Linked DNA regions of Mus musculus. The main gene of each other region encodes a partner of the protein of the gene in region 2 in a complex. Links are inferred from orthologs where the notes say so. Each region holds a gene or a part of one and is shown on either strand. Other genes may lie near its edges. The genes, in order: Khnyn and Zc3hav1.

Region 1 (4,270 bases), on a different chromosome or scaffold from region 2:
CCCAGAAGTACTGTACAGCGAGAGCAATACCCCGACTGGAAAAGTAATGCTGGAGTCCGTGCCTGTTACGGAGAGCGTCGACGTCAGGACCCAGAGAAGGCTGCGGCACAAGCCCCTCAGAGGCTGTCTCCAGAACTCAGTCCCACCAGCTACTTACACCATGGCCACGTTGCTGCCATCAATGACAATGTGACGGAGATCTGGCTGGCCAGGCACATTGGCAAGGCACAGGGTGAAAGGATCCTGTAAGGCTTCCTGGAAACGCTGCGTGCCAGTCACCAAGTTGCCCCCACGAGTGCCTCGCTTCCACGGAGACCCTCGGCCTCGAGCTCCAGCCTGCTGCTTGTCTCCCCTGTCTCCCCGATCTCGATCTCGGTCTCGGTCTCCACAGGGCCATGGGGGTTCCGGCGCGGGCGGAGGGCTAGGCACTCTCGGAGGTGAGGCGCTCCCATTGTGGAGCCGCTGGAGGAGAGAGGCTCCCCGGATTGGAGCTGCCCTCTGACAGGGCACATGCGCACCTGAAGGTTCACCCTGCACACTGAACCCTCCTCTTTGCTGAGGAACCTCCTGTTTCCCCGAGGCCTTTCCCTTCAAGGGTGCCACCTCCTCTGCTCCTCCACCTGCTAGCTGTGACCTGTAAGCCACTCCAGGCTCCCAGACCTCTTCCCCAGACAGCTCCTTCCGCCCTGAACCCATGTCCCTGACAGCATCCTGTTTCCTTTCCTCCTTCTCCACAGTATGACTTTGTCCTCTTACTGCTGGCGACTTTCCCGACCCTGCCACTCTGGTGCCTACGAATTCCCTGCCTTCATTCAAGGGAGCCCTGACTCCCTGGAACTGAGGACTCAACAGGCCTGAGCTCCCCACCTCACGAGATGGACCCTGCCCTCTAGATGCCTCCTGCACCAGGCTTAGGAGCTCCTCCTGCACGGCCAGGGGCAGCCGCAGCAGGGCCTCTGTGTAGGCATCCTCCCTAGTCTGCAGCAGGGCAGAGAAGTCTCTCAGCACTCCGCCATTGTCAGGGGCTCCGGGACAAGACTGTAGCTGAAGGTCCCAGCTCAGCCGTTGCACTAACTCCTCCACCCGGCTCTGGGCCATCACAAACGCCTCGGTTAGGCCACTGATCATCAGAGAGCCAGGAAGCAGAGGCACCAGGTGGGCAGATGTGCTCCAGGCCAGGCAGTCAAGGAAGAAACCGTGGGCTCCCAGAAAGATGCAGTGCAGTCTGGGTGGGTAGTGGATCTCACTCTGTAGTTCTGGGCTGCAGAGCCCCTTCAGGTATTCCTAGATAGGGAGGTCAGAGAGGAAACTTCTAGAAGCCATCCCTTTCAGATTCACTGCTCTCCCTGAGCTTCAAGCTATTACATCATCTAAGTAGATACTGTTTCTATTCACACTGTAGACCTATGGAAATGTAAGAACAGACCAGAGGGCTGTCAAGTGATGGAGCCTATTGGCCTTGGGTGCAAAGGGGGGAAAAAGTGGCCGGCCCCCTCTCAACCCCAGGGAATTCCCTGGCAAGGCCCACCTGTACAGAGGGGATTACCTTACTATCTCCAAGAGCATGAAGTGATTTGGTTCTAAAGCCTGAAGAACCTAGGCAGCACAGCAGAAGTGAAACCAAAATTCTAAATAAAAAGGTTTGCTGAGTTCCTCAAAGCTCAAGAGAGAGGCAGCCAATAAGATTGCCAAGAGGCATTTCCCAGTCCCTCCTCCGACTCGGCCTCGGGAGGGGCAGCGTCCTAAAAGGCTTTGTAGCAGCCCTAAAAGGAAGAGGACTTCACCTTGGCTCTGCAGACGTTCTCCTTGGGGCCCTCAAGCTGCAACCAGATATGAGGATTCTCTGGGCAGTCTTTGGAGAGGACGCTCATTCCCACGTTGAAGATACGCTCCAAGCGAGTCTGCTGCTCCCGAACCTTGTCCTCGGCCTCCGCAGACACCGCAAAGCGGTCGGGAGTCGGGGAGGCAAACCCCCAAGTAGACATGGCTTCTACCTGGAGTCCTGGAAGGGCAGAGGCAATCTCAAAGTCTCTGTCTCCCTTCAACCCAAATCCTAATCACATGGCATACATCCAACAATCAACAGGTCGCACCTAGTGACAGAACTGGTAAACAACCCCAGGAGATAGCAAGTCCACCTCGCGGGTGGAGAATATAGAAAATCATCTATACACAGGCCTCTCCCTGAGAGTAAGCCCTTCTTAAACAGGGCTAGCTGGGGTGGGCGACTGGCCAGAGAAAACTGATGACCACCGCCCTGAGAAGGGACGAGTTGAGAGGGCCTCCAGCTCATTTTGAGGGTCACAAGAAGTGGGTGGTTTGAGGAAAGAGTCCCAGAGCTGAGAGGTCTCGGATTTTTTGAGTAGAGGAGGGCCTCTTGGGAAATGAATACGCGCCAGAGGCTCTAACAGTGTAGTCCTGGGGTGGGGGTTTCCCCTATCCGCCTTATTCCTTCACTAACCACTCCCACCTCCCCGCCCCCGCCCCCCCTCCTCGTTTGTCCACTGTCAAGCATCCCACCCGGGGCCCAGGGGCATAGCCCGCCCTCCCACAGCCTGCGGCGGCCGCCCCCAGCCCGACCACCCTCCCGCCACGGCCTTCAGCTCCCGATCGCCCGGAAGGGGGACGCCTACCGCCAAAGCCGCGAGTTCCGCCCGCTCCTCTAGGTGCCCGCGGCGGGGGAGGAGGGGCCCGCGTTTCTCCCGCGCCCCAGGGGCCTGGGGCTGGGAGCCCGAATCTGGGAGGGCCTTCTCGGATCCTTCACCCAACCTAGACTTCTCTCGTCAACAACGCGTTGTGGCTTTGGAGTCACTTTCCGGCCCGGGGCGGAGCCAGCTCGGCTCCTCCCCCGCTAGGGCCGCACTGGCCAGGGCTCGGGGCAGGGCTGCGCTCCTCCTCCCCGGCTCGGCCTGCTGTCCTGCTGCCGAGCGACCCGCCCTCCACATCCCCTGCGGGGCCTACCGGGTCACAGACACTCACCCCACCCCCAACGCCTCCTGCCAACTCTCACGTTCGCCTCCAGTTCCTGGGGTCCTTGGGAGTTCTGCAGTTGATGGTTCCAAGAGAAGTGACTGGTCCAGAGTCACAAGAGAATCCTGCCCTTGACACAAGCACTTTCACCAAGTAGATAGAGTTGGGGGAGTAGGGGGGGAAGGGGGGGGAGATGAGGACACACACCTTGCCACAATAAGGAAAACCCCATGGAGAAAGACTGAAAAGGAGAAGATGAGAAAGGAATTGAAGAAATTTTGTTTCGTGTGTGTGTGTGTGTGTGTGTGTGTGTGTGTACACACCCTTGTGTGGCTAGAGCCCTCATATCCTCTCTCCATTCCTCTTCTCCCTCCCAGGGCCCAACTGCTGTCACTCCATGCTCTGCCAAGGAGGAGGGATCCGCAGAGACAGCAGTAGTAAGGCCAGGCAGAGCTGTGGGACACAAAAAGATACAGGGAGGGGAGTGCCCGGGCTAGGTGCCAGACTCACAGAGGACAGCAGAGCAGGGCAGGAGTACTGAAGCCTTGAAGCAGAGGGGGGAGAGCCAAGGGGACAGAAGACAGGAAAATCTGTGAGTTACAGAGGCACCTAGCAAGGATGGGGACGGAATGGCACAAACCCAAGCTGTCCTTGGCCCTGGTGCTTCTGACCCTGGAGGCTGGGTGGGCTCAAGAAGGGTCAGAGCCTGTCCTACTGGAGGGGGAGTGCCTGGTGGTCTGTGAGCCAGGCCGACCTACTGCAGGAGGACCTGGGGGTGCAGCCCTGGGAGAGGCACCCCCAGGACGAGTGGCGTTTGCTGCAGTCCGAAGCCATCACCATGAACCAGCAGGAGAAACCGGCAACGGTACCAGTGGTGCCATCTACTTCGACCAGGTAATCCCTCTGCCTCTGTCCGGAAGACATGCAAGGACCTGGACTCTACTGTCCAAGCCCCTTTGCATCCCTCGGACTCCAAGGAAACCATTACCTGCATCTCTTGCACCACCTTCCTCTAAGATGGCCACTGACCGTTGGTTGGCCTTCTTTCATTCATACACACAGCACCGTAGCCCTTCCTCATAGTTTTTGACTCTACACATTCCTGTCACACCCGTTTGCCACCCCTTCTCTCCTCACCCACTGCACAAATGCCAACCCAGTGATGCTCCTGAGCTCCCGGCACCCAGAATCCCTCTCAACACAATCTGCTTCCCCACAGGTACTGGTCAATGAGGGCGAGGGCTTTGATCGGACCTCGGGCTGCTTCGTGGCCCCTGTCCGTGGAGTCTACAGCTTCCGA
Region 2 (3,804 bases):
CTCCTCAGCCCTGAGCTTTCTTCTGTATGTCTTCCCCAAACCCCATGGTGCTGTCTTCTCATCAATGTAAGGTTTAATCAAAAACAAAGGTATTTGCAAGAGAATTAAATTAGTCCATCCAGGATCTTTCTGCTGACTTAGAAAATAGGTCAGGAATTGGAAAATAACCAAACACACAAACAAATCCAGCCGTTGCTCTCACTCCTTCCTCTATGCTCCCAGCTCCTCAGTTTGACCAGACTGATCTTTACAGCTGTGCTCCACATTGATCCAGAGTCCCTGAGTCACTGAAGGACAAGGTCTCAATAGGTAGGCCTGGCTCTTCTGGAACTTTCCCTGTGAACCAGGCTAAACTCAATTTCAGAGATCCCCCTGCCTCTGTCCTCCTCCTGCTTCTGCCCCACTTCCTGCCTCTGCCCCCTTCCTGCCTCCTGCCTCTGCCCCCTTCCTGCCTCTACCTCCTTCCTGCCTCTGCCCCCTTCCTGCCTCTGCCCCCTTCCTGCCTCTGCCCCCTTCCTGCCTCCTGCCTCTGCCTCTGCCTCCTTCCTGCCTCTGCCCCCTTCCCTGTCTCCTGCCACTGCATTACACTCATGCACCAAAGCTGGACAGTGACAGCACATGCCTTTAATTCCAGCATTTAGTAGAGGCAGGTAGATTTCTGAATTTAAGGCCAGCCTGGATTACAGAGTGAGTTCTGGGACAGCCAAGGCTACACAGAGAAACCTTGTCTGAAAACAAACAAACAAACAAACAAACCCACCACCACACCCAACTATTTTGTATTATTATTTTGTACTGTGCTAGGTCTGGGCCCTACTATAAACTTCTATATTAAACTGCCCCAGACCTACAGCATACAATAGCCACCAGAATCGCTGTATCATTATCATCATCTTTCTCATCCTCTTCTTGTTCATTTAATTTTTAGGTCAGCATACAATGTACTGGGTTTGACCATGACATTTCTATACATCTGTATCGTTATACTTTATTTTTCTCTCTTTCTGGTACTGTAGCTAAACCTGTGGGGCCTCTCTCAGGCTAGACCAGGCCTCTACCATTAAGAAATAGCCCCAACCTTTTTTCTTTCTATTTTAAGACTTGGTCTTACTAAGTTGTTGTGGCTAGCTTTGAGCTAGCTTTGTAGTACACACTAGCCTTGGACTAAATAAATCTTCCTGCCTCGGCCTCCTAAGCCTGCACTGTCAGGTCTGACCATATCTTATTCCTTAAACACCCACAAAGAATGAAGGGTTCATAAAAAAAAAAGCATTCTGTGTGAGGGCAGAGCCCTGAGATGAGAACGGGCTTCTCCCCACTCTCCCCTGGAACCATCAGTGGCATTAATTAGAAAGCTACTTTGAATAGCTCTGCAGCCACAGACAGCGATCAGGAAAAGCCATCTCTAGTAAACAGCAATGGCAGAGAACATAGCCAGCAGACGGAACAGTTTACAAATAGGAAGATCTTGAGTTGTTCCCAGAGAAAAAGACAAACAGACAAGGAGCCCTAGGGCCAAGGCAAAGCACCCTCAAGACAATGGAGCTGTCCTAACAAGGTAACTCAGCTTATTTTCTCTGAAGGCCACTGGAGTCCAGAGATGCAGTTCTACCAAGTGATGCCAAGGGCATCTCAAGGAAACCATGCGCATGGCTGGAGTCACAGTTCTCTCTCCTCCAGCACAAACCTTTTCCATATCTGATCTCCCGGTTTCCATGTAGGATCCACTCGAAATTATTCTTACAGATGTAATCCATATGAATCCGGCCCACCGCGTGAAATAGGAACATCTCAGTCTTGTTTTTCATCTTTTGCTTCTTTCTGATAAAGAGAAATGTGACATTCAGTACCAGGAACACTAGGCCAGCAAGATGGCCGCCACTGGGTACAAGAGCTGAGTTCAGTCACCTGGACCCATGTGGCCCGGGGTGGGGGGTGGGGGGTGGAGAACAACAGCCTCCAGCAAGTTTTCTTGTGATGTGCATGCCCCGCACCCTAGTGTCAAATAAATAAATGCACAAATAAAATAATAAAATGAATACGCCCCTCTTGATCTACTCGAATAACATGACCCTCCAAACAAGGTCTGATTATGTCACCTCTCAAAAGTGTCCCAGAGCTTCTGGTTCCATATCCTCTTTATCGTCACAATCTTGAATTGTTTCATGGATGCTTTAAACTGTTCACTTATTTTGGCATACTCCTCATCCTGGTTATTGAGCTCTATAAACTTAAGGGGAAAAAAAGATGTTTCTATGTTACCTAGGAAACACTGAGAGCATGCTAATCATCACATGTGCCCGCCCGTGCCCTGTCAACCACTGCTGTTCTCAGGAGGGCAGGGCTGGCTTAGCATGCCCATATCTGGTAATGAACCAACAGGCACATACACCTGTCTGTTCAGGCCAACCTTTGTGGTGTACCACTTAGTCCAAGAGACCCAGGAAGTTAATTGTTCAAATTCCAAAACCAACCAGTGACAGAGAGATCAGAGATGCCTACGGAACACATGCAGATTGGCCTTCACAAAAGCTGGAGCCAGATGTAAAGGCTAAACCAGACTAGGAACAGTCCTGTCTCCACCGGGATGGTGACAGCGTGGGACACAGGAAGCTGGGCTACTGTTGCTCTCAGAATCCTGCTTTCTTTATCAGTTATGGTCTCACAGGATGGCTGTGAGAATCTGCCTGAATGACATTGCATCTCTGGAGACACTGAGATGCCCTATAGAACAGTTGTTCTCTGAGAAAGCATCCTGGTTATACCCAGGCACCTTGCCTTTGACTCTGGAGCTAGGGTTTGAAGAAGCAACTCACTCATTCTGTTAACAAATCCATATGCTTACTGTAAAGCATTTTCCTACCTTTAAAGGATTCACCCACCAAACAAGCAAAGCCAGTTACCTCATATTCGTTAGAAGAAACAGTGCTAGCATTCCTCTGGGGAGAAGAAAACAGGGTCAGAGCATCTGCCTGGGGCATCACTGGCTGATGGCTACAAAGAAAGACAGAAGGAAAATTTACTCGGTTCCCTTTCTTTGTACCCTCAACACACAGCCAGAAAGTCAGGGCTTTTCTGGGAAATGTGGTGTTGACTTCTGTATATCCTCTGAACTACCCCTGAAAATTCCTGGTTCCAGCAACCACAGGTTTTAAAAAGGGGGAATTTAGTAATGTAAACACTCTCTCTCCCACTTCTTTACACTGTAAAAGCACGGAACGGCGAGATAGCTCAGGACGTACAGATGCCTGCATGAAGGCCTAATGGCGAGTCTCATTGCTAGATCCTTTCAGGTTGTAGGAAAGAACTGACTCTTTAGAGTTTGTTCTTGACGACCTCCTGTGTGTGGGGTGCACACACCTATACACACACGCACTGAGTAAATGAATGGATGGATGGATGGATGGATAGATAGTAGATAAAACTAAAGGCACCAATTCTTTTTGACGTATCTGCTCAACCTTCAAAGGTATAGGTTGTCAGGGGGAGCCTGTGTGTCTTGTAACTTCTTTGCCAAATGATAGACAGGTAAGCAAAGATTTCAGGGTGAGAGATCAGCTGGAAGACTGAAATACCCACAGCCATCCCTTAACGTCAGTAAACAGGGTAACTAACCAGAGCATAGCATCCCGACCAAAAACCCAGCCTGGACCAAAAACCCAGCCTGGACCTGACAAGTCCTCAAAATCTACTAACCAGCCAACAGAAGCCACCCATAAAATGGTCTCACTGGAATATGATGGCGTATATTTTGATTGATCAAAATACCTATTTTTTTCTTACCCTTTATTTTAAAAATTGCAT

What was found.
Region 1: the proteins of Zc3hav1 (region 2) and Khnyn are in contact, whole or in part, in a crystal structure (PDB 9BGL), measured with the Homo sapiens proteins. The link is inferred for Mus musculus from reciprocal best matches to the Homo sapiens genes ZC3HAV1 and KHNYN. Residues at the interface, in NP_064504.2 of Homo sapiens: Glu5, Val6, Cys8, Phe9, Lys12, Ile13, Ala16, His17, Glu29, Ile30, Ala31, Leu32, Leu113, Glu115, Phe118, Ser127, Gly128, Leu129, Asn130, Glu133; in NP_001277186.1 of Homo sapiens: His651, Lys652, Asp654, Phe655, Gln658, Arg659, Pro661, Tyr662, Asn677, Phe678.

What each region holds. Positions count from the first base shown.
Region 1 is NC_000080.6:55,883,506-55,887,775, reverse strand, and holds the start of Khnyn (protein KHNYN), read right to left. Parts: upstream 2,835-4,270; 5' UTR 2,634-2,834; intron 2,003-2,633; 5' UTR 1,986-2,002; coding exon 1,785-1,985; intron 1,285-1,784; coding exon 158-1,284; intron 63-157; coding exon 1-62. Other genes in the region: Cbln3 (cerebellin-3 precursor), read left to right, coding at 3,589-3,864, 4,190-4,270.
Region 2 is NC_000072.6:38,309,491-38,313,294, forward strand, and holds part of Zc3hav1 (zinc finger CCCH-type antiviral protein 1), read right to left. Parts: intron 2,995-3,804; coding exon 2,904-2,994; intron 2,231-2,903; coding exon 2,100-2,230; intron 1,822-2,099; coding exon 1,688-1,821; coding exon of another isoform or gene 1,569-1,687; exon of another isoform or gene 1,007-1,568; intron 1-1,006.